Elephas maximus indicus: one gene and its partners. The main gene of each other region encodes a partner of the protein of the gene in region 2 in a complex. Links are inferred from orthologs where the notes say so. Each region holds a gene or a part of one and is shown on either strand. Other genes may lie near its edges. The genes, in order: MMP10, TIMP1 and stromelysin-1-like.

Region 1 (7,534 bases), on a different chromosome or scaffold from region 2:
TATTTTATTCAGAGTTTTTATCAAGAATGAGTGTTGAACTTTAACAAATGCCTTTTCTGTATTTGATGATGATGATAACATGATTCTTTTGTTTTGTTCTATTTATACGGTGGATTGTGGTGATTGATTCTCTTATGTCGAAATATCCTTGTATATCTGGTATGAATCCAACTCGGTCGTGGTGTATTATTTTTTTATATGATGCTTAGTTTTATTGGCTAGAATTTTGTTGATCATTTTTTCATCCATATTCATGAGAGATTATTTTTGTTGTTCTTAGGTGCCGTGATGTCACTTCTGACTCATAGTGACCCTATGTACAACAGAACGAAACACTCCCAGGTCCTGCACCATCCTCATAATCATTGTTATGCTTGAGGCCATTGTTGCAGCCACTGTGTCAATCTGTCTAGTTGAGGGTCTCCCTCTTTTTTGCTGACCTTCTACTTTACCAAGCATGATGGCTTTCTTCAGGGACTCGTCCCTCTTGATAATATGTCCAAAGTATGTGAGACAACGTGTTGCCATCTTTGTTTCTAAGGAACATTCTGGCTGTACTTCTTCCAATACAGATTTGTTCATTCTTCCTGCAGTCCATAGTATATTCAATATTCTTTGCCAATACCATAATTCAAAGGTATCAATTCTTCTTTGGTCCTCCTTATTCATTGTCTAGCTTTCACATGCATATGAGGTGATTTAAAATACTGTTGCTTGGTCAGGCACACCTTAGTACTCAAAGTGATGTCTTTGCTTTTTTATCACTTAAAATAGGTCTTTTGCAGTAGATTTTCCCAGTGCAATATGTTGTTTGATTTCTTGACTGCTGCTTCCGTTGGTGTTGCTTGTGAACCCGAGTAAAATGAAAACCTTGACAGGTTCAATGTGTTCGCCATTTCTCATGATGTTGCTTATTGGTCCAGTTGAGAGGATTCTTGTTTTCTTTATGTTGAGGTGTAATCCATAGCGAAGGCTGCGATCTTTTATCTTCATTGGTAAGTGCTTCATGTCCTCCTTTCAACAAACAAGGTTGTGTCATCTGCATATTGCAGGTTGTTAATGAGTCTTCCTCCAATCTTTATGCTGTGTTCTTCTTCATATAGTCCAGCTTCTATGATTATATGCTCAGCATATTTATTGAATAAGTATGATGAAAGGAGATAACCCTGACTCACACCTTTCCTGATTTTAAACCAGGCGGTATCCCCTTGTTCTGTTCAAATAACTGCCTCTTGGTCTGTTCCTCATGAACACAATTAAGTGGTCTGAAATTTCCATTCTTGCCAACGTTTCCATAATTTTTTATGAATGACGAGTGCTTTTGCATAGTCAATAAAACACAGGTGAACATCTCTCTGGTATTCTCTGCTTTCAGCCAAGATCCATCTGACATCAGCAATGATATCACCCTTCCACGTCCTCTTCTCAATCTGGCTTGAATTTCTGGCAGTTCCCTGTTGAGGTATTGCTACAAGAGCTTTTGAATGATCTTCAGCAAAATTTAACTTGCGTGTGATATTAACAATATTGTTCTAAAATTACGTTTGACACCTTTCTTTGGAATGGACACAAATATGGATCTCTTCCAGTTGATTGGCCAGGTAGTTATCTTCCAAATTTCTTGGCATAGATGAGTGAGCACCTCCAGCACTGTATTCATTTGTTGCTACATCTCAGTTGGTATTCTGTCAATTCTTGGAACCTTGTTTTCCGCCAGTGCTTTCAGTGCAGCTGGGACTTCTTGCTCCAGCACCCTCAGGTCTTGATCGTATGCTACCTCCTGAAATGGTTGAACATCGATCAATACTTTTTGGTACGGTGACCCTGTGTATTCCTTCCATCCTTTCAGGTTCTTTTGATTCTTCCTGCATCATTCACTTTCAAACTGCTTATGTCCTTGGATTGTGGCTCTTGTAAACAACATACCTTTTTTTTTTTTAAATCCACTCAGCCACTGTCAACCTTTTGATTAGAGCATTTAGACCATTTGCATTCACTGTAATTGTTGATGAGAGGTAACTTACGTCGTTTTGTTTTTTTGTTTTCTGAATGTCTTAAGCCTTCTTTGTCTTTGTCCTTTAGTGCTTGCTTTTTGTGTTTTGTTGGTTTATTGTAGTGAGTCTATTTGTTTCCCTTCTCCTTTCCTTTTGTGTATTTTTTTAAATATATTTTCTTACTGGTTACTCTGAATATTGTATATAAGAACTTGTATTTATAACATTCTAGGTAAGTTGGTGCCATCTTAAATAATATACAGGAAATTCTATATCTATACCAATCCTCTCCTCCCCTTTTGTTGTTTTTATCACTAATTGTTTATATTTCATTTGCCCTGTAAAACAGACCAAATTTTAATTGCCCTTATTTTTGGAGCCCTAGTGGCACAGCGATTAAGTGTCATGGCTGTTAACCAAAAGGTCCACAATTCAAATCCATCAGTTGCTTCTTGAAAGCCCTATGAGGCCATTCTACTCTGTTCTATAGGGTCACTATGAGTTGAATCACTTGACAGCGATGGATTTGGTTTTTTGGCTTATTATTGTTTTAAATTCTTTATGGCTGATACTCTCTCTCATTGCCTCTACCCAGCATGGACCACTCCTACAGCCCACACTTTGCATACCACTGTGTTGTGCACTGAGTGAAATCCCTCAAATCTTTTCTAGAAAACTATGGGAGAAAGAAAGCAAAAAAGAGAATCCATATGGGAAGTTAAAGGACTAATATTTATGGAACACTGGCTAAGCGAAGGACAATTTATATGTAACATATCATGTAATTCTTATAAACCATTTTTATAGATGAAAGAACAATGTCCTTCAGAAATTAGATATATTTAACCTAAAGATGGCAACTTAGTCAAACACATTATGCCATCCCTGTACAGCAAAGACACGAGAAACCAAATAAAAAAGATGCAGATGACAATCCTTGAACCCTGAACATCAAAAAGAATGGTAAAGAATTCAAACAACATTTGGAAGAAGAACCAAGCCAGCAAACACGGAGTGATATGGAGTGAAGGTTCCCTGACATGGATGGAAATGGGGAGAGTGCTGACGTATTGTGGGGATTGCTACCAAATGTCAGGAACAATCTGTGTCTTATTTATTGAATGGGAAACTAATTTGCTGTGTAAACTTTCACCTAAAGCTAATAAAATGTTCCCAAAACAATTTTTGTATATTTGCTCAAAGCCATCCAGCTGACTTTGAGTCTGGCTGTAAGCCCCTTTCCCTCTGTTTTCAAGCTGAGGTTCCTTCCACTGCACCACACTATAGAGCAAACCCTTGGCTATATTAAGCCACAGGTTGACATGGGCCGATCAGTGCCCATCCAGATTTCTTTCCAATTCTGGTGCAAGGTTTTAGAGCCTCCAGGTTCCTGAAGTTTCCATCTTGTCTAGTCAATCTCAAGTAGGGTGAAGATAGTTGGTGGTGCTGATGGGATCATGCCTGCACACCCATAAATTCAGTCTCCTATTCCTTTGCATATTCCAGGTATGGTAGAGTTCATTTATCTTTAGTGAGGAAAAAGAAAGATAATTCTATCTTAAAAGAATTTTACTGTCTTTTATATTAATAGATTAATTTGACAAAAATGTTATCCCAGACTTACAATGTGAAAGCACTCGGCTGAGGGGAAAAAAAGAGAGAAAATGCTATTGATGGACAGGAGTAGATGGTTAGATATGTGACGGAAAAGGAGTATTTGAAATTATTCCCCTTCACAAATTTCAATCCATCTCCTCTTTGTCCTTTAGTAGGAGGAAAAGAAGATAAAAAGGTTTTTTTAAAGCAACAAAGAAGAGGAAGGTAGGAGGAACATTTCATTCTAATATGCAATTTGACAAGTTTTTATCAAGCAGTTACAAAGAGCATATCATTTATTCTGAAATGGACAATGAATGAAAACCAAAGACGAATCGGTGTGATTCTTCCTTCCTCTACAGACCCTCTTTTCCATGGCCCACTCCCTTCTCACGGTGTTCCTCCTCCAGGGCCAGTAAATCCATCTGGAAACTTGTAATAACTGCTTTAAACAAGGACTCAAAAAATGAAATACCTCTCCTAATATCCTCCTAGAGATAAGTTTCCATATTTAGACCACAATTATATTTGGAATTTCCTTCCGTTCAACTACTTTTTCCTAACCCACTTATATTTGAGCTTAAAATAAACTATTCCTAAAAAAAACCTGAACAGATTTAGAAAGGTCTGAACTTTTGACTTTTTACCAATAAACACATAAACATGAATGATCTAGTAGTTTCTTTTTCCACTTCATAAACACAGAAGCCACTTCCTAGAAATTAATCATTCTCTTGTGCATTTCGAAGTTCAAGGGAAATTACTGATAGAGTCTGTATCATCTTCCTGTTGAATTCTGGTGACCCTTTCCGGTTTCATTCAGATAAAAAAAAAAAAAAAAGAAAGAGCACACACACACCTTAGTCACCAAACACACATGATGATATAAGCCTTGTCGCCCTATATAAGTCCAGCCACTAGCAGGTAGAGAGAGAAGCCAGTAGTCACAGAAGGTGTTTTCCTTTGGTGAAAATGGTGAGAATGAGGCACCTTGTCGTCCTTGTGCTGTTATGTCTGCCAATTTGCTTGGCCTATCCACTGGCTGGGGCAGTGAAGGAGGATTCAAACATGGATCTCGTCCAGGTAATTAATGGTGGGGGCCATGACGCCCCTGGTCAGTCCAAGTGGAGAGACAAGTGTGTTTGTTTCAGCTTGATAATCAGAGGAGGAGGGGATTACAGCCAGACTCAAAGTCAGCTGTAAGCAGAATGATTCGATTGGGGGTTATTATGTTGGGATAACTTAGGATCAGGGAGATTAAAGTGCTAGAAGTGGAAGTCCCTTCATTTTAACAGAAAATGAAAAAGAGGCCCAGGAAGAAGAGATAATTACTTAAGGTCACACAATAAAATATTACAGGCAGCTTCAGGACTAAGTGAAGAGAATAAATGGAAAGCTTCTGAAAAACTGATTTTAGAATTTCCTTAGTTAAAATAATAGCAGGGTGGGGAGAACATGTGAATTTTAGTCTTGCAATGATACCAAGTAATAATGTTTATATCGTTGGTTGTCATGTTTGGACACAAGAATTTGTCCCATTTAGTCTTGACCAGGTTTATATTAACAACGTAAAGTGGAAAAAGTTAGACATGCTCAAAGTATGCATACAATTATGTTTCTCTTTTTTAAACAGGTTGGATCTAAATTCTCAACTTCAAATTCTTTACTTGGCTAGCAGATTAAATTGCAATGAAATTTAAAACTTAGTACAAAGATAAAATAATGAAATCAGGAGTCTTCATGAAAAATCAAATTAAGTGTGCTGTTTGCTTTGGTTTCAATAAACTAGAGAATAATTAAATTGTGACATTCAGGCAACTGTAAAAATTACCTAAAATCTATGCTTATTTTTTCATAAGCAATATCTAGAAAAATACTATGACCTTGCAAAAGATGTGAAACAGTTTGTAAGAAGAAAGGACAGCAGCCCTATGGTTAGAAAAATTCAAGAAATGCAGAAGTTCCTTGGGTTGGAGGTGACGGGGAAGCTGGACTCCAACACCCTGGAGGTGATGCGCAAGCCCAGATGTGGAGTCCCCGATGTCGGTCAATTCACTACCTTTCCTAGCTCACCAAAGTGGAGGAAGACTCACCTTACTTACAGGTAATTTTTACTTATAGGTTTTCACATAAGATTATAAGATTATACTCTGTAAATTACTGTCACAGGAGAAAATGTTACCTTCTATTTTTCTTTTACAGGATTGTGAATTATACACTGGATCTGCCAAGAGATGCTGTTGATGCCGCCATTGAGAAAGCTCTGAAAGTCTGGGAGGAGGTGACTCCTCTCACATTCTCCAGGAATAATGGAGAGGCTGACATAATGATCTCCTTTGCTGTCAGAGGTAAATAATAATTATTTTTAAAAACATGAAATATATCCATGTATCAGGTTTTTTTTTGGAAAAATTAAAAAGAAATCCTAATTATTCATCTCTCCAATAAAAAAATCATTTTCCCTGTTAGAACATGGGGACTTTTTCCCTTTTGATGGACCTGGAGCCACTGTGGCTCACGCCTATGCACCTGGGCCAGGGATAAATGGAGATGTTCACTTCGATGATGATGAACGATGGACAGAGGATAAAACAGGTGGGTCATAACTCTCTCAAAATGATTTCAGAAATAATGCCCATCTCTATCCAAGATAGATGTATACCTGTGTTTTATTGACTACGCAAAGGCATTTGACTGTGTGAATCATAACAAATTATGGATAACATTGCAAAGAAAGGGAATTCCAGAACACTTAATCGTGCTCATGAGGAACCTGCACATAGGCCAAGAGGCAGCCATCAGAACAGGTTAAGGGGATACTGTGTGGTTTAAAATCAGGAAGGGCATGCATCAGGGGTGTATCCTTTCACTGTACTTATTTAATCTGTATGCTGAGCAAATAACCCAAAAAACTTCATGAAGAAGAACATGGCATCAGGATTTGAGGAAGACTCATTAAAAACTTTCAACATGCAGATGACAAATTTTGCTTGTGGAAAGGGAAAAGGGCTCAAAGCACTTACCAATGAAGAGCAAAGACTTCAGCCTTCAGTATGGATTATACCTCAATATAAAGAAGACAAAAATCCTCACAACCGTAATAAGCTCCATCATGATAACTGGAGGAAATATTGAAGTGGCTAAGGTTTTATACTTTACTTGGATCCACAATGAACACCATGGAAGCAACAGTCAAGAAATCAAGCAACATATTGCATTGGGCAAATCTGCTGCAAAAGATCTCTTGAAAGTGTTGAAAAGCAAAAACATCCCTTTGAGGACTATGGTGTGCCCGATCCAAGCCATGGTATTTTCAATTGCCTCATATGCATACAAAAGCAGGACAACGATTAAGGAAGACTGAGTAAGAATTGATGCCTTTCAAGTATGGTGTTGGCAAAGAATACTGAATATACCATGGCCTGCCAGAAGAATGAAAAAGTCAGTCTTGGAAGAAGTACAGCTAGAGTGCTCCTTGGCAGTAAAGTTGGTGAGACTTTGTCTCAAGTACTTTGGACATGTTATCAGGAGGGACCAGTCAGTCCCTGGAGAAGGACATCATGCTTGGTAATGTAGAGGGTCAGTGAAAGAGAGGAAGACCCTCAACGAGATGAACTGGCACAGTGGCTGCAACGATGGGCTCAGGTGTAGCAAAGATTGTAAGGATTGTACAGGACTGGACAGTGTTTCATTCTGTTGTACATAGTGTCTATGAGTTGGAACTGACTCAACAGCACCTAACACCTATCCCAGAAGAATTTGTTTATCCAGATAGAGCAGTAAATGGAACATCCTAAGTAACTAAAATTTCTAATTAGCTGAGTGGTAACGAGAAGCACTCTTTGTCCTAATCCTTATTGAAGAACTTCATAAAATGTCTGCATTTCTTTCGTGCCCCACCAGGCACACTATAATAAGCACCATTCAATTTTACAATAACTAAG
Region 2 (7,236 bases):
GCACAGACTCCAAAGCGCGCCTAGCTCTCCAGGGCTCACAGAGACCCACAACACAGTCATCCACCACCCCCCCACCCCATGTGCTCACAGCAGGGGACAGAAATCAGCATGCTTGACCAGCCTTGTTTCTCAGCAGTACACACTCAACATTCCTAGACACACACTCAACACTTTTGGACACAGACACAGCACACAGCCCTCCTCCCTTCGCCCAAACACACTTAACAGAGGGACACACGCAACACCCAACAGGTGACCCATACAACACAGAGACAACCATCAGAGATACAGCCACAGAATACAGAGACACATTTAACTCTGACAGGCACACACAACAGAACTAGACACAGAGTTAACACAGGCACACAGAACATCCCTAGGCACATGCACAACAAACAGAAGAACCCACACAACATACAGATGTACACACTTCTAGGCATTCACATAACCACTGAGACCCATAACAGAGACCCACACTACACTCCTGGGCACACAAAAAAGTATATCTAGACACACAAAACATGCCTTGTCATATACAGAACACAGGCATGCACACAACCAGAGACACTCAGTACCCTAAGTATACTCCCAGGCCACAACTCTGGGTGTGTGCCCACACAACATTCCTTAGGATGTGTGTGCGTGCGTGCGCGTGCGCACACACACACACACATATACACATTCAGGCGTGGGAAAGACCTCGAGTTCCACCCCCCACGCCCACTCTGGGTGGGGTAGAGGGGCCTGGGTTGGGTGACTCCAGCCCCACCAATAGCACGAATGCACGCAAAGGGCCCCCTCCTGCCCCTCCCTCCCGCTGTGGAGACAGATGCCTGACGGGGGTAGAGAGAAGGCATTCCGGGAGGGGATGCTGGGGCGGTGGCGGTTCCGGGAGGTTCCCAGTTCCCGACAGGCACAGGAAGCCCACAGGCTCAGGGTGACTGACTGACCTTCAGGCCTTGCCCTCCCTCTGCACCCCCACCTTCCTCATTTCCCAAATGACTGGTGTCATTATGGGGGGGGGCAAAGACGGGGATGGGGGATTATGAGGGTCCTCTAGGTAGCATGCCAGGGAAACAATGCAGAGGCGTACACATGACAAACTCAGGCATACGGCATATGTATACACAGCATGCAGAGGTAAACGAAACATTTCACAATTACATAGACAACCTGGACCCGCTTTACAGAGGCAGACACAAAACTCCCATAAGCAACATGAAATACACAGGGATATATAAAACACTCACATACACACAGCTCTCAGAAACACACAGCAACACAGAGGTACACATACCACCTAGAGGCACACATACAGCTCTCAAAGGCACACACACACACACACACTCAGAGGCAGAAACGCACCAGAGAGCTGAGTGCACACATGCCCGAGGTTTCTAGGCCCCTCTTTTCATAAACAGTCCTTGTGTCCTCTGACCCTGAACCTGCACACACTGTGTATGTGTGTGCCTCCACTTGTGTGCATGCATGAAGTTATGGACTCTGGGGTTCCCCTGGAAATCCCTAAGTTTGCATTTTGGCCTCCCCTCTTCCTTAACGCCATGTCACTTAATTCCTCCCTGGGCCTCAGTTTCCTGATCTGTACAAAGGGCACCTAAGCACTGGTGTGTGGTGGGGACTGTCGGAGTTAGCTCTACACACCCCAGCTGGGCTCCATGGGCTCCCACACCATCGAACTCCCCAGATGATCACACACCTGAACACTCCTTCCACAGAACTCCACCAGCTTCACAGCCTGTGCACTAACCCAGATCCCCAGAACCCTCATATGTAGATGGTAAAACCCTGTGCTGACTCAGGCTTCAGAATCACAGAGCTGGCGTCAGAACCGGGGTCAGTGAGGGGCTGCAACAGGACTTTCCCTTTCCTCGCTTCTTCCTCAGCCTGGCCAGCTACCACTCTTACTCAACCCGTTTCATTCACTCTAACTCCCCCGGTACTCACCCCCTTTCACAGTCAGTGTCTACAATCTTTTGAGTTTACTTCTCTCCTTCCTGTCCCCCCTAACAAGTCATTTCTTCACTCTCATTCCTGGGAAGGTCACTCAACCCCTTTGTGTCTCAGTTTCCTCATCTGTATAATGAGAATATAAGCAGTTCCTCATACAGGGATGTTGTGAGGAATAAACTAGTTATTTCAGGAAAAACACAGCACAATATCTAGCACACAGTAAGTCTCAATCCTCAATAAGTGTTGGGTACTATTATTATTGCTTTAACATCCTTTCATTAAACCAACATTAATTAACAAGGAGGTGATCAGAACTGACTGAATGAGATACTGTATATACAAAGACTTTAGAACAGTGCTTGCTACACAGTAAACTCTCCGTACGAGTTGTTGTTGGTGGTGGTTATTGTTATTACTGGTCTAACCTCTCTGAGTTAATCAAGCCTAATTCTCAAAGGGGCAATGGAGATTGAATGAGACAATTTACACACAGACCTTAGTAGACAATACACAGTAAGTATTATCATCACTTCATCATCATTATTGGTCTACCCTCCCTGAATTAACCAAGGATGTTAATCAGCCTTCAGAACTTGGAATTGTCCCCTTCCCCAGGACCCCCGGGACAGCCAACATCAGGAAGCTGGTGGGCAGGGATTGCCTCATCTCACCCTCCACCAGGGGCGTGGGAGGGTTAGTGGGGAAGGGGCAGGGCAGGATGGGGTGGGGATCAGTTTTCTACTGACTCACTGGCCTCTTTCACCACCATTCAACACCGCCCCCCCCCCCCCATATGCACATTCCCGGCTTGCCAGGACTGTGCCTTGCCTGGGTTAAGATCCTGGTGTTAGCCAAGGTTCGAATCCCAGCCATGTCTTGTGACCCTGAGAAAATTCTTCAATCCCTCTAAAAAACCAGTTGCCTTCAAGTCAATTCTGACTCATGGCAACCCATGTGTGTGTGTCAGGGTAAACTATACTTATCAGGGTTTTCAATGGCTGAGTTTTTGGAAGTAGGTCACCAGGTCTTCCTTCTGAGGTGCCTCTGGGTGGACTCGAATCTTCAACTTTTTAGATAGCAGCTGAGCATGTTAACTGTTTGCACCACCAAGGGACTCCTCAATCCCTCTAATGCATCACATTTCCTCGTCTGTAAAAACGGAATACCACCAGTCCTCATCTCAGAGACTTATGAGCTTTAAATGAGATAAATTATGCCAAGTGCCTGGCATACAGTATATTGTTGTTAGCTGCTGTGGAGTCCGCAGTTTCCGACTCATGGTGACCCCATGCACAGTGGAACAAAACGCAAGTCCCATGATCAGTTGTGGCTCTGACCATTGTGGTCCATAAGGTTTTCATTGGCTGATTTCAGAAGTAGATTGCCACGCCTTTGTTCCTAGTCCATCTTAGTCTGGAAGCTCTGCTGAAACCTGTTCAGTATCATAGCAACACACAAGCCTCCACTGATAGATGGGTTGTGGCTGCACATGAGGTGCATTGGCCAGGAATCAAACCTGGGTCTCCTGCATGGAAGGCGAGAATTCTACCACTGAACCACCAATGCTTCATTGGTACACAGTAGGTGCCATATAAATGCTGGCTATTTGGCTGCATTTTTTGAAAGAAGTTAAGACCCAGGCCCTGGTTCCAGGCCACCTGAGCTCAAATCCCAGTTCTGCCACTTTTTAACTCTGTGATCTTGATGTCACTTAACTCTGTACTTCAGCTTCCCAGTTTGTATTCCACCTCCATTCACATGCCTTATCTTCCTTTATTGCTTCTGCATCATTCGTTTCTTCTCTGCCTCCCCTGCCCCTCACTAGAATGTCAGATCTACAAGGAAATGGATTTTCGTGTTTTTTGTGTGCTTGTGTGTTTGTTGAAAGAATGAACTAATTTGGGTTTCAGCTATGGGCAGCTTGGGGAATGTGAGGAATTCGATAGGCTTTGGAAGAAGTTTGGAGACTTGAGGGGATGTGGGGGAATCCTGCCTATAAGGCCTCCACTGAGGCTGCTTGTAAGGATTGGTGCACAACGTGGGGATGGGGGAGGGGGTGGCCGGGAACCGAGGCCCAGGGGGAGGGAGAGGAGGAGGGTGCACCCCCCTTTCCGCAATGGCGACCCGCCCCTTGGCCTCTGCGCTGATGGTGGGTGGATGAGTAATGCATCCAGGAAGCCTGGAAGCCTGTGGTTTCCGCACTGCTTCCACCCCCGCCCCCTCGCATGGACATTTATCCCCTACCGCTCAGGCCCTGCCGCCATCGCCGCAGACCCAGCGCCTAGAGAGACACCAGAGGTAGGCAGGGGCCTGGGTGGCCCCACAGAGGCTGGAGCTCAGCTGGAGCTTTCCTGCCAGCCACCAGGCTGGCCGGTTCCTGTGCAGACGCCTGGCGGCCTACCCTGGCCTCCCAGCACCAGGACCCTGGGCTGGAAAAAGGAGAAGAGGGTGGGGCTGGAGCTGCTCCACCAAACCCGAGCCCCTAAATCCCCTGACCCCTAACATCCATACCAACTTCCTCAAACCTGTGACCCATTAATACTACAAACTCCTCCCAACCTGCCAACTCGCCTAAATTCCTCTTACTGCCCCCAAGTCCCCCACCCCGTCTCCCCAGCTCCCTAAACTCCCCTGGCCCTCAAATCCCCCAAACTCCTCAATCTTCAACCCCTAAACCTCAGAACTCCCCAACCTCTAAATCTCTGAAGCACCCCCACCCCCTTAATCCCCGAAGTTCCCTCTACCCCTTAAACCCCCAAACTCCCCCAACTTCCTAAACCCCAACTTCCTCAAAATTCCTCAACCTCCTTAAATCCAAAACTCCCCAAGCCCCCTATATCACTCACAGTTCACAACCCCTAAACTCCCAACCTCCCCTAAACTTCTCCAGCCCCCCAACCACCAAATTTTTCACCCCAAACTTCTCAACCTCCAAACCCCCCAACGCCCCTAAATCCTCAAAACTCCCCACCCCTAATATTCCAAACTCCACAACCCTCTAATTCCCTAACTCACCCAGTCCCCTAAATCACCCAAACTCCACACACAACTCCTTAAACTCTCCCAACCCCTTAAACCCCTCTGGGCTCCCCAAATCACCAACTCCCTTAAAATCCACAAACTCCCCAAGCCCAAACCAGCCCCTTAATCCCCTTTCAGGCTGCCCTGGAAGAGGGTGGGGGGGGGATCAGCTGTGCTGGGGCCAAATGACACCCCCTGCCCTGACTCCTGACTCCAGCAGAACCCACCATGGCTCCCTTCACGCCCCTGGCCTCTGGCATCCTGTTTTTGCTTTGGCTGATCACCCCCAGCAGAGCATGCACCTGTGCTGCACCACACCCGCAGATGGCCTACTGCAGTTCTGATCTTGGTGAGTCTGTACCCCACCCTGCCCACACACTCCATGCTTTGGTTTCCCTCTCAGTCCATTGGGGTTCACAGTGGTGCCTACTTCTAGAATAATTTCACCCACCCCTGCACTTACTCTGCAGCAGCCACGCTGGCCTCCTCACACTTCCTTGACTACACTAGGCCTGATCCCACCTCAGGGCTTTGTACTGGCCCTCCATTTGTCTGGTACACCCTTCCCCCCAGGTATCCACATGGGTGTCTGCCTCAAACATCACCTTCTCAGGGTGGCCTCCCCTGGCAGCCTTATTTAAAACCTTAATCCCTGACCCCTAGTACTCCTGATCCCTCTTATCCAGCTCTGCAATTCTCCATCACACTTAATACTTTCTAATATTCCATATACTTATTTACTTTGCTTGTTTCTAGTCTGTCTTCCCCTGGCTAGAATGTGAGCTCCACAAGGGAAGGGATTTTTGTATTTTGTTCACTGTTGTGGCCCTAACACCCTGAACAGTGCCTAGCATACAGTAAGTGTTCGAGAAAAATGCTTGTTGAATGAATGAAGGAATCTACAGAGCACAGAACAATGTCTGGCACACAGTTGTTGTTTGTTGCGATCGTCCATTCCAACTCGTGGTGATCCTGTGTGTTACAAAGTAGAACTGCTGTATAGCGTTTCCTTGGCTGTAATCTTAATGGAAGCAAATTGCCAGGCCTTTTCTTCCACGGTACTGCTGGGTGGGTTCAAGCCACCAACCTTTAGGTTAGCAGTCGAGTGCAAACCATTTGTGCCACCTAGTTACCTTCTGGCACACAGTAAAAACAAAACAAAACCTGTTGCTGCCTAGTTGATTCCAACTTGACTTGACCCTAATAGGACAGAGTAAAACTGTCCCATAGGGCTTCCAAGGAGCCGCTGGTGGGTTCAAACTGCCGACCTTTTGGTTAGCAGCCAAGCTCTTAACCGCTGTGCCACCAGGGCTCACAGTAGGTGTTCCAAAATATTTGTTGAGCGAATGAACAAAAGAATTTATGAAAAAGGCTTAGAGCAGTGCCAGGCAATGAGTAGGCACTCAGTATACAGCTGGATCAATGAACGAATGTGTAAATCGCTTAGTGTGCTGTCTGGCATGCAGTAATGCCTATTTAAGTATGTGCTTGTCTAGTAGTATTATTGTGGGTATTTTATTTTTATTTGCTCAACAGCCCCTTTGACTCATTTCTTTCCCTCCTCTCTTGCAGTCATCAGGGCCAAGTTCATGGGGATGGCAGAAGTCAACCAGACTACCTTGTACCAGCGTTATGAAATCAAGATGACCAAGGTATCCCTTCTGCCCATTCCCCAGCAGTTCCTAACATTTTCCTCTCCATCAAAATAGAAGCTTCTGGCTACAGGCTAGCAAGGAAGTTGGCTGTGGTCTCAGGATGCTGTATGGCTTCAGGATAGAACATAGAGGGGGAGGATTAATATCAGTAAAACAAAGACTCTTCCTCTCATCCATCAACAGATGTTCAAAGGTTTCGACGCCTTGGGGGATGCCCCTGACATTCGCTTTGTCTACACCCCTGCCATGGAGAGCGTCTGTGGATACTTCCACAGGTCCCAGAACCGCAGCGAGGAGTTTCTCATCACTGGTGAGACCCTGCTCCTTCGCCCTGTACCATGCCAACCTGTTCCTCAAATGCTGCCTAGCCACCCTGTGGCAGGCGAGGCTCCCAAGGGAATGGTCCCAGTTGACATGGGGACCACCCCAATTTCAGCCTATCACAAAGCCAGGGATTCAGCAGGATCTGTACTCCAGGGCTGCCAGTCAGGCACCACCCTGCCCCCAGCCCAGCTAATCAGAAGCTGCTTGTCCTCCTCCCCTCTCCCCCCAGGACAACTGCGGAAGGGGCACCTGCACATCACCACCT
Region 3 (7,332 bases), on a different chromosome or scaffold from region 2:
GGGGGACACAATCCAATCCATAACACTATATTTAACTCCTTGCCACCACCCAATCTCCCATCCCTACCCACCACTAGCATTAAAAAAAAAAAAAAAAAGCATTAGAGTCTATTAACTTCACAAGAACCAGGTGTCTTTTCTTCTGTTCAGAAGTGTAGTGGACCCAACTGTTTAAAAAATCAATAAATATTTCTCTTCATTTGTCATTGAAAATTAAAAAATCTAAACACTGTCTCAATGTAGTAATATTTGCTGGTTATGGTCTCAGTTAAATGAATCACAGTTGATTCATTTCAGTTCTGAAATTCTTAGAAAACCATACTCCTGTTATTTTCCATTGAAATATTGCCTGCATAATTTTTCTGTCTAATCATCATTATTTAATACATATTGAGTCAAAATAATAAATATAGATATCACAGGATTTGAAAAATTAGTTTAAAATATAAATGCCCAATCATATCTAGGATTTGTCAGAAAAGAGATTTTGATCACATAAACGCTGGCTGTATTCAGATATTTTTATTCATATTATTTAAAAATATATAGAAATTGGAAGGCATTAGGTAATTATGATTGACATAAGTAACATAACAAGTAAATCTACCTCTGGAAAAGTTATTTGTCTAACTCATGACCCCAGGAAAGGTCTCATTTGAGACTTCGCAGGAAGAGGTTAATTAAATCAAACCAAGAATTGTATCTAGCATTAACCTCACATTTGTACTCTCTGCAGAAATTCCGTTTGCATTTTCATTATAAAGCCCAGCCAAATCTTAGAAGCAATATTATTCGGTTCAGCAGATTGTCTGAAACTTTGGAAGTCATTTCTTAAAGTATATAATATAGCTTTGAACCAAGAAATATTCTTCCACCTAAACAGTGTGGACATTGTATTTTTTTTTTTTTTTATTTCCTTCAGAACAAGTTCATGAAAACTCTTCCTAAACTTGAGGCAGTAAAATGTTGACTTAGCCAGAATAACCGAGAACCTCAATGTCTCCAATTTAATTCTGATTTCTGTTTTGAAGAAGAAAGATGTGAATGGGGGAAAATATATAAACACCGCTGAGGGCATGTTTTATGGTCAGTGTAGATTTAATGCAATAAACTATCCCTTGGATATCTGAAATGTGGTATAATGAGAATTCGATCTTAATAATAATGGACTGAAGATCCCACAAGATCCACAGTTATTTTTCTTACATTGTACTTACCAAGGCAAGGAATAAACCTTTAAAAAACTAGAAAAGTTTTCAACATTGATTAATGCTCATTTCTTGAACATTCTTCGATACTAAGAGTTTTCCAAATATAGAAGGAAATTAGCACCAAAGTCATTATGAGAGAAGCTTAACTTACCTCTTTTATCCTCTGTCCATTGTTCATCATCATCGAAGTGAGCATCTCCATTAAGCCCTGGGCCAGGGGCATAGGCATGAGCCAGAACTTTTCCAGGTCCATCAAAAGGGATAAAATCTCCATGTTCTAATAGAGAAAAATGTTTTTTTTTTTTTTTAAAATTGGAAAGATAGGTAATTAGTATCTCTTTTTAGGCTTTTCAAATAAAACACCACCAGATCAATGAATATATTTCATGTTTTTTGGATTGTTTTGTTTTGTTGGTTGGTTACTTTTAATTACCTCTAACAGCAAAGGAGATCATTATGTCAGCCTCTCCTTCATTATTCCTGGAGAATGTGAGAGGAGTCACCTCCTCCCAGACTTTCAGAGCTTTCTCAATGGCGGCATCAACAGCATCTCTTGGCAGATCCAGTGTATAATTCACAATCCTGTAAAAGAAAAATAGAAGGTAACATTTTCTTCTGTGACTGTAATTTACAGAGTATAATCTTATAATCTTATGTGAAAACCTATAAGTAAAAATTACCTGTAAGTAAGGTGAGTCTTCCTCCACTTTGGTGAGCCAGGAAAGGTAGTGAATTGACCGACATCGGGGACTCCACATCTGGGCTTGCGCATCATCTCCAGGGTGTTGGAGTCCAGCTTCCCCGTCACCTCCAACCCAAGGAACTTCTGCATTTCTTGAATTTTTTTAACCACAGGGCTGCTGTCCTTTCTTCTTACAAACTGTTTTGCATCTTTTGCAAGGTTGTAGTAGTTTTCCAGGTATTGCTATAGGAATAATTAGTTCTTAGGTCAATCTTATGATTTTTATCTATTTATAATAATTTTTTACACTTGCTCACATTTCTTAATGTATTTGAAGTATTCCTCTAGTTTGCTGAGATAAAAATAAATGGTATGTTTGTTTACTTCTTAAAGCCTCCCCCTTCTCTTTGCTTTGTCTTTGTAACTAAATACCTCTGCAATTTAGTTTGGTACCAAAGCAATGGCAGAGAAGTGAAAAATTGAAATAACATCTGGTTCACTTAAAGAAGAAAAACAAAACAAACAAACCTCTTTTGGCCTAACTGTATACTCTGGATAAAATTATTCAATTTCCCACTTTATACTACCCACAAGGGTCTGGCTTAAGAAAAAAGTTGGCAAAATCCTTTTGTCTAAACATGACATGAGCAATATAAATATTTAGTTAAAATGACATTGAATCAAAATATCTAAAAAAGTTCCAAAACAGGGCATACTTCATTGTGCTCCACTTGCCCTTTAAGTACTTCAAGTCCTAATGCTGCTGCTACGACAGTGTTGCGTGATCTCAAGAAAAAACCTCACATTTCTGGTCCTTTGTTTCTTCCCACATAAAAAGAGGAGCCTGAATGATGTGATACTGAGACTCTTTCCACATCTAATACTTTACAACTTTCTGTCCCTGAACTGTTTCTACACAGTAAGTTCCAATCGTTCTAGTAAGAGTAGTAGGCAAGGAGGGTCTCCCTACTTGTCCCTACCAGTGGGTGGGATGGATACCTCCATTAATTACCTGAACAAGATCCATGCTGGTGTCCTTATTCTTTGCTGTTTGTTCCAGAGGGTAAGCTGAGCAAGCTGCCACGCACAGAAGCACAAGGATTGGAAGATTCTTCATTTCCACCGGCTTTACTCAGCTCTACTTGAAGAACTCCTTATGCTCTGACTACCTCTTTCTAGGTCCACCCTCCAGAGCCCAACTTTTATAGGGTGACAGGATTTGTTCAAAACACTCACAGCTTGACTCATGATTTCTTTCATCCAAATGGAAATGGTCCAACAGGACTATTTCCAGAAATTCCAAACTCAAAGTAGAGTGATACAACGTAATTTACTAATTTCTCTCAACCTTCCAATTTTACAAAGCGAAACAGTGATTAATGGCCAGGAAATACTTCCTGTTTTGGTAAAGGAGAAAACTGGGACATTTTTCCTTAAAAACTCTGTAAAGAAAATGGACCGGAATTTACTAGACAATTCATGCTTGTGTGTTTTTGAGGAGAAGCGGGCTGACTTAACAAAAAGTTAAAATTGAGCAGAACTTTCAAATGCAGTTATACTTTAAGAACATATTTTAGAATAAAATGTAATATGACAAGATATAAAGAAATGAAATGCCATGCATATGTAGCTATAGTCTGTATCTAGAAGAAAATTGGAAGGGAGAATTCATTTTTTGTGTCTTTGCTTCCAAATATCAGTTGACAACAAGCCACTTCCAACTCGTGGACACCCCGTTATTGCACAGTAGAACTGTGCTGTATAGGGTTTTCATGACTGAAACCTTTTAGAAGCAGATAGCCACCCCTTTCTTCCCAGATCCTTCTGGGTGGGTTCGAACTGCCAACCTTTACAGCCTTGCAGTTAATCTTTTGTGCCACCCAGAGGAAAAAAAAAAAAAAGAGAAATACCTACTATTAATTTCTGGTTGGATTTGCAAGTCCTTGAGGAGGAAAAGTGTAGGGGCAGGATAGAATAAAGAGAGTCTGTGAAAAAGAAGGAAGTGTATCTATTCTCTTATGGTTGGTTTTAATTCTGTACCCAATTTATTAAGGGATAATAGACTCAAAACAGGTGCTCCATAAATGCTTGCAGAATTGGCATAAATTACGTCACTCACTGGACTGAAATGCTCCTCGGTCTTTATCTTCTACACTTTTATTCTATACTTCTAGTTGTGAACAGTACAAAAAAAAATTTGACTTTTTCAGCTCAGAAATGAAAATAGTTTCCACAGACCAGTCATTTGTTATATGGCTAATTATATACAAGAGATAGATAGTAGCTGGTGTTTATAAATCTGGTATCTCAGGGATCCAGGAACTTTTAATTAAACTTTAATTTAGCCTGATCCAAATTTGGATTCAAAAGCTGGCAGTTAATCGAAGTAATATCCTATCTGATAACTTTTCATATCTATCTATCATGATTTTCCCTGACTAATCAGACAAGATAATCCATGATCCTTACTACCTCTAAAACCTAACCTGTTGCCATGGAGTTGATTCTGACTCATAGAAACCCTTCTTCTGGTTAATACAATCATTCTTTCAGATAAACACTCCTTTATCCAGTGTCTTAGTTTTACATGTTTCAGAATACTCAGACTGAGATTGTAGGTTTGGAGATAAAAATCAAAAGGAACCCTTAGAGAACAAGTGGTCAAAGTAGCTATTTTAAAAAAGGAAGGAAGGCAAGAAGATTAGTTGGTTATAATCTAGTAGGGGAGAAGATTCCAGTGCAACTAAGTCTACAAGGAATGAAGTGAGAAGTTGTATAAGAATTAAGCAGAGGAAAAGGTGTTTAGAAAAAGCTCTGGGATAAAATAGCTGATAGGTGGAGCCTAGAAAGATTTGGACAGGAAGGTAAATACCAGAACAGAATAATTACGATGCAGAGTCAAGAAAGCTTAAGATCTATACAGAAAAAGGCAAAGAGTTGATTTTTTATTGAAGTACAAGATGTTTGGAGAGTGGTAATGAAAAATAAGGTTGTGGGAAGATAGATTGAAGCCCAGTCATTGGAAGGCCATTAGATAAAGTGTTTAGAGTTTATTCTGTTGGTAGTGTGGAGAGTCATGATTCTGAATAAAGTTTTGTTTTGTTTTTTTCTAATATGCCCATTATAGAAAATTTAGAAAACTTGAAAAAGTAGAAAGAAAAGAAATCATTTCCAGTCTTATCAGGGAAAAGCTACTCTTAGCACTTTTGCTGTATTTTCTTATTTTAAACTGTGTGCGCTTTTTTTTACATCCTGATGATCTCTTGAAATTTGTAAAATTTTATGTATATATATATGTACTTTTTTTTTTTTTTTTTACAATTCTGAATCCTATCAGCCAGAGAAAAGCACTAACAAGGCAATATATTTCATCAGAATTGTAGGATAAAAAAATATTGTTTATAGGTTTCTTCATGTTTTTCATAGTTGAAATCAGACTATAGATGCTGATTTTTATGCTTATTTTTCACAGACTTTCAAACTATCTAGTTGGAAGAAGAACTAGAATGGAAGAGGGGATTAGGGACAGACAATATCTGCAAGTGGATGGCTCAGTCTTGTTTTCGTTTATAAAAAGCATAAGGACTCTGATCACTTCATTAAAAAAAAACCCAAAAAACCCAACCCTGTAGCTGTCAAATTGGTTTGGACTCATAGCAACCCTGTAGAACAGAGTAGAACTGCCCCATAGGGTTTCCAAGGAGCAACTGGTGGATTCAAACTGCTGACCTTTTGGTTAGCAGCCGAGCTCTAACCACAAAAATGTCAAAATCTATCATTCAGATTCCTTGGCAATGACAATAGCCTTTGCGTGGTTCCATGTAACTCTGATTTTCCAGAGGGAACGAGAACATTTTGCCATAATCATAGCATAAGTATTTCAATTGTGCAAACAGTATAGTATCAAATAAGATGTTCAACGGTTCTCCAAGACAGGATATTCCATTTGATTGTAAGGTAAATACTTTCTTTTTTTATATGAAGACTGGAGTGGAAGCAGAAGGGGAACAGGAGTGAGAAGCCCTATGGACCGATCTTCACCTTAGGTCACAAAATCCATCTGACAAACCATCATTCAAGCAGACAAGTGACTTTGTCAAATAAACTTGGTAACGGCAGTTCTGTTGGGCCTTTTAAACCCCTGACATACCCCTTCTGGAATTGTTAGTTTTGAGTCGACTTTCAATTGACAATTGTATGCTTTCATGTAATTTTTTTTTTCCAAGAATGATTTAGGAGTGAAATTTATTGATTCTTGCATGTCTGAGCATGCCTTCTGTTAGCCTCTCCTGTGGAAGATATTTTGGTTAGGCATGAAACTCTAGGGTTATAATTTTTCTCTGTTTTTCAAAATTAAGATCCACGCGATAGAGAAGGGGACGCAATATTTTCTAGCTAATAGGAAAATAAGGTCCTGGGTCTCCGAGCAGACAGGTAAGGAGAAAATTATCTTTCTAGCTCTTTTAGATGGCCAGTGTTTGCTGAATTTTCATAACACAAAACACAGATAAGCCTCCAAATATTTATTTCAATCCAGCTTCACTGTCTTTATAGACAGTAGAAAAATTCACTCTAAAACAATCAGTCTTGCTTTCAATGTTATAATTTTTTCTTCTCTTTTCATGTGCTTTAGCACAGCATTGGGAAAATTTCCTTCAGTGCCTAGTAGCCCAGTACTCTTCATCAGTAAGTTCTTCAACTCTGTATGGATCATAGCAAATTATGGATAACATTTCGAAGAATGAGAATTCCAGAATTGTGCTCGTGTAGAACCTGTACACAGACCAAGAGGCAGTCATTCAAACAGAACAAGGAGATACTGCCTGGTTTAAAATCAGGAAAGGTGTGTGTCAGGGTTGTATCCCTGTCTGGCAGTTCCCAGAAAAACTGCTGCAACTGTTTTGATATGTATTGACATTTTTTTTTTCCTTAAATCTGGGCCTTCATTTATGCTTTATTCTGGAGGTTCAGTTTCTTCACATTTTGCTCAAACATCTGTGTCTGGTAATGCTCATTCCCCCGTCAGACGCCTTATCTTCTTTTGAGTCATGATTTTGTTAGTGTTGACACATTCTTTCAATGGGTCACTTTATGTAAGAATGATAGAATCAAAGTTTGTGTTGTAGTAACAGTTATAATTAGGGCTGGATATATTCCAGAGCAGAGCTAACTTATGCTCCCACAGAGCTAGTGTTGGTATGCCAGTTTACTGTCCATTAAAACCGAGGTTCTGAGCTTATATTAAAACAAAACAAAAAAACCAAAGGGGTGGCTGGTGGATTCAAACTACCGACCTTTTGGTTAGTAGCTGAGCTCTTAACCACTGTGCACCAGGGCTCCAAACTTACATAGTTTTAAATAAACCCTGAGTCTTTTTAGAGTGTGTAATGTAGTTTTTTTAATGTAGTTAGACAAATATATATATATGTGTGTCCTTTA

Evidence for each region.
Region 1: the proteins of TIMP1 (region 2) and MMP10 are in contact, whole or in part, in a crystal structure (PDB 3V96), measured with the Homo sapiens proteins. The link is inferred for Elephas maximus indicus from reciprocal best matches to the Homo sapiens genes TIMP1 and MMP10. Residues at the interface, in NP_003245.1 of Homo sapiens: Cys24, Thr25, Cys26, Val27, Pro28, Asn37, Leu57, Tyr58, Pro87, Met89, Glu90, Ser91, Val92, Cys93, Arg98, Thr121, Cys122, Cys155, Leu156, Ser157, Ile158, Gln173, Leu174, Gly177, Ser178, Glu179, Lys180; in NP_002416.1 of Homo sapiens: Phe170, Tyr171, Gly177, His178, Ser179, Leu180, Ala181, His182, Ala183, Tyr184, Pro185, Tyr191, Asp205, Ala206, Ser207, Gly208, Val214, His217, Glu218, His221, Phe226, His227, Thr231, Tyr236, Pro237, Leu238, Tyr239, Asn240, Phe242, Thr243.
Region 3: the proteins of TIMP1 (region 2) and stromelysin-1-like are in contact, whole or in part, in a crystal structure (PDB 1UEA), measured with the Homo sapiens proteins. The link is inferred for Elephas maximus indicus from reciprocal best matches to the Homo sapiens genes TIMP1 and MMP3. Residues at the interface, in NP_003245.1 of Homo sapiens: Cys24, Thr25, Cys26, Val27, Pro28, Pro29, Val52, Thr56, Leu57, Tyr58, Pro87, Ala88, Met89, Glu90, Ser91, Val92, Cys93, Thr121, Cys122, Leu156, Ser157, Pro159, Gln173, Leu174, Gly177, Glu179; in NP_002413.1 of Homo sapiens: Phe100, Thr102, Phe103, Phe171, Tyr172, Gly178, Asn179, Val180, Leu181, Ala182, His183, Ala184, Tyr185, Ala186, Thr207, Thr208, Gly209, Thr210, Val215, His218, Glu219, His222, Phe227, His228, Tyr237, Pro238, Leu239, Tyr240, His241, Ser242.

What each region holds. Positions count from the first base shown.
Region 1 is NC_064825.1:17,872,307-17,879,840, forward strand, and holds the start of MMP10 (stromelysin-2), read left to right. Parts: upstream 1-4,526; 5' UTR 4,527-4,562; coding exon 4,563-4,673; intron 4,674-5,449; coding exon 5,450-5,694; intron 5,695-5,792; coding exon 5,793-5,938; intron 5,939-6,059; coding exon 6,060-6,185; intron 6,186-7,534. UniProt on the Homo sapiens protein: Can degrade fibronectin, gelatins of type I, III, IV, and V; weakly collagens III, IV, and V. Activates procollagenase.
Region 2 is NC_064846.1:124,057,224-124,064,459, reverse strand, and holds the start of TIMP1 (metalloproteinase inhibitor 1), read left to right. Parts: upstream 1-4,162; 5' UTR 4,163-4,269; intron 4,270-5,209; exon of another isoform or gene 5,210-5,212; 5' UTR 5,213-5,220; coding exon 5,221-5,341; intron 5,342-6,564; coding exon 6,565-6,644; intron 6,645-6,830; coding exon 6,831-6,957; intron 6,958-7,200; coding exon 7,201-7,236. UniProt on the Homo sapiens protein: Metalloproteinase inhibitor that functions by forming one to one complexes with target metalloproteinases, such as collagenases, and irreversibly inactivates them by binding to their catalytic zinc cofactor.
Region 3 is NC_064825.1:17,788,778-17,796,109, reverse strand, and holds the start of stromelysin-1-like, read right to left. Parts: upstream 3,056-7,332; 5' UTR 3,011-3,055; coding exon 2,906-3,010; intron 2,137-2,905; coding exon 1,892-2,136; intron 1,794-1,891; coding exon 1,645-1,793; intron 1,489-1,644; coding exon 1,363-1,488; intron 1-1,362. UniProt on the Homo sapiens protein: Metalloproteinase with a rather broad substrate specificity that can degrade fibronectin, laminin, gelatins of type I, III, IV, and V; collagens III, IV, X, and IX, and cartilage proteoglycans.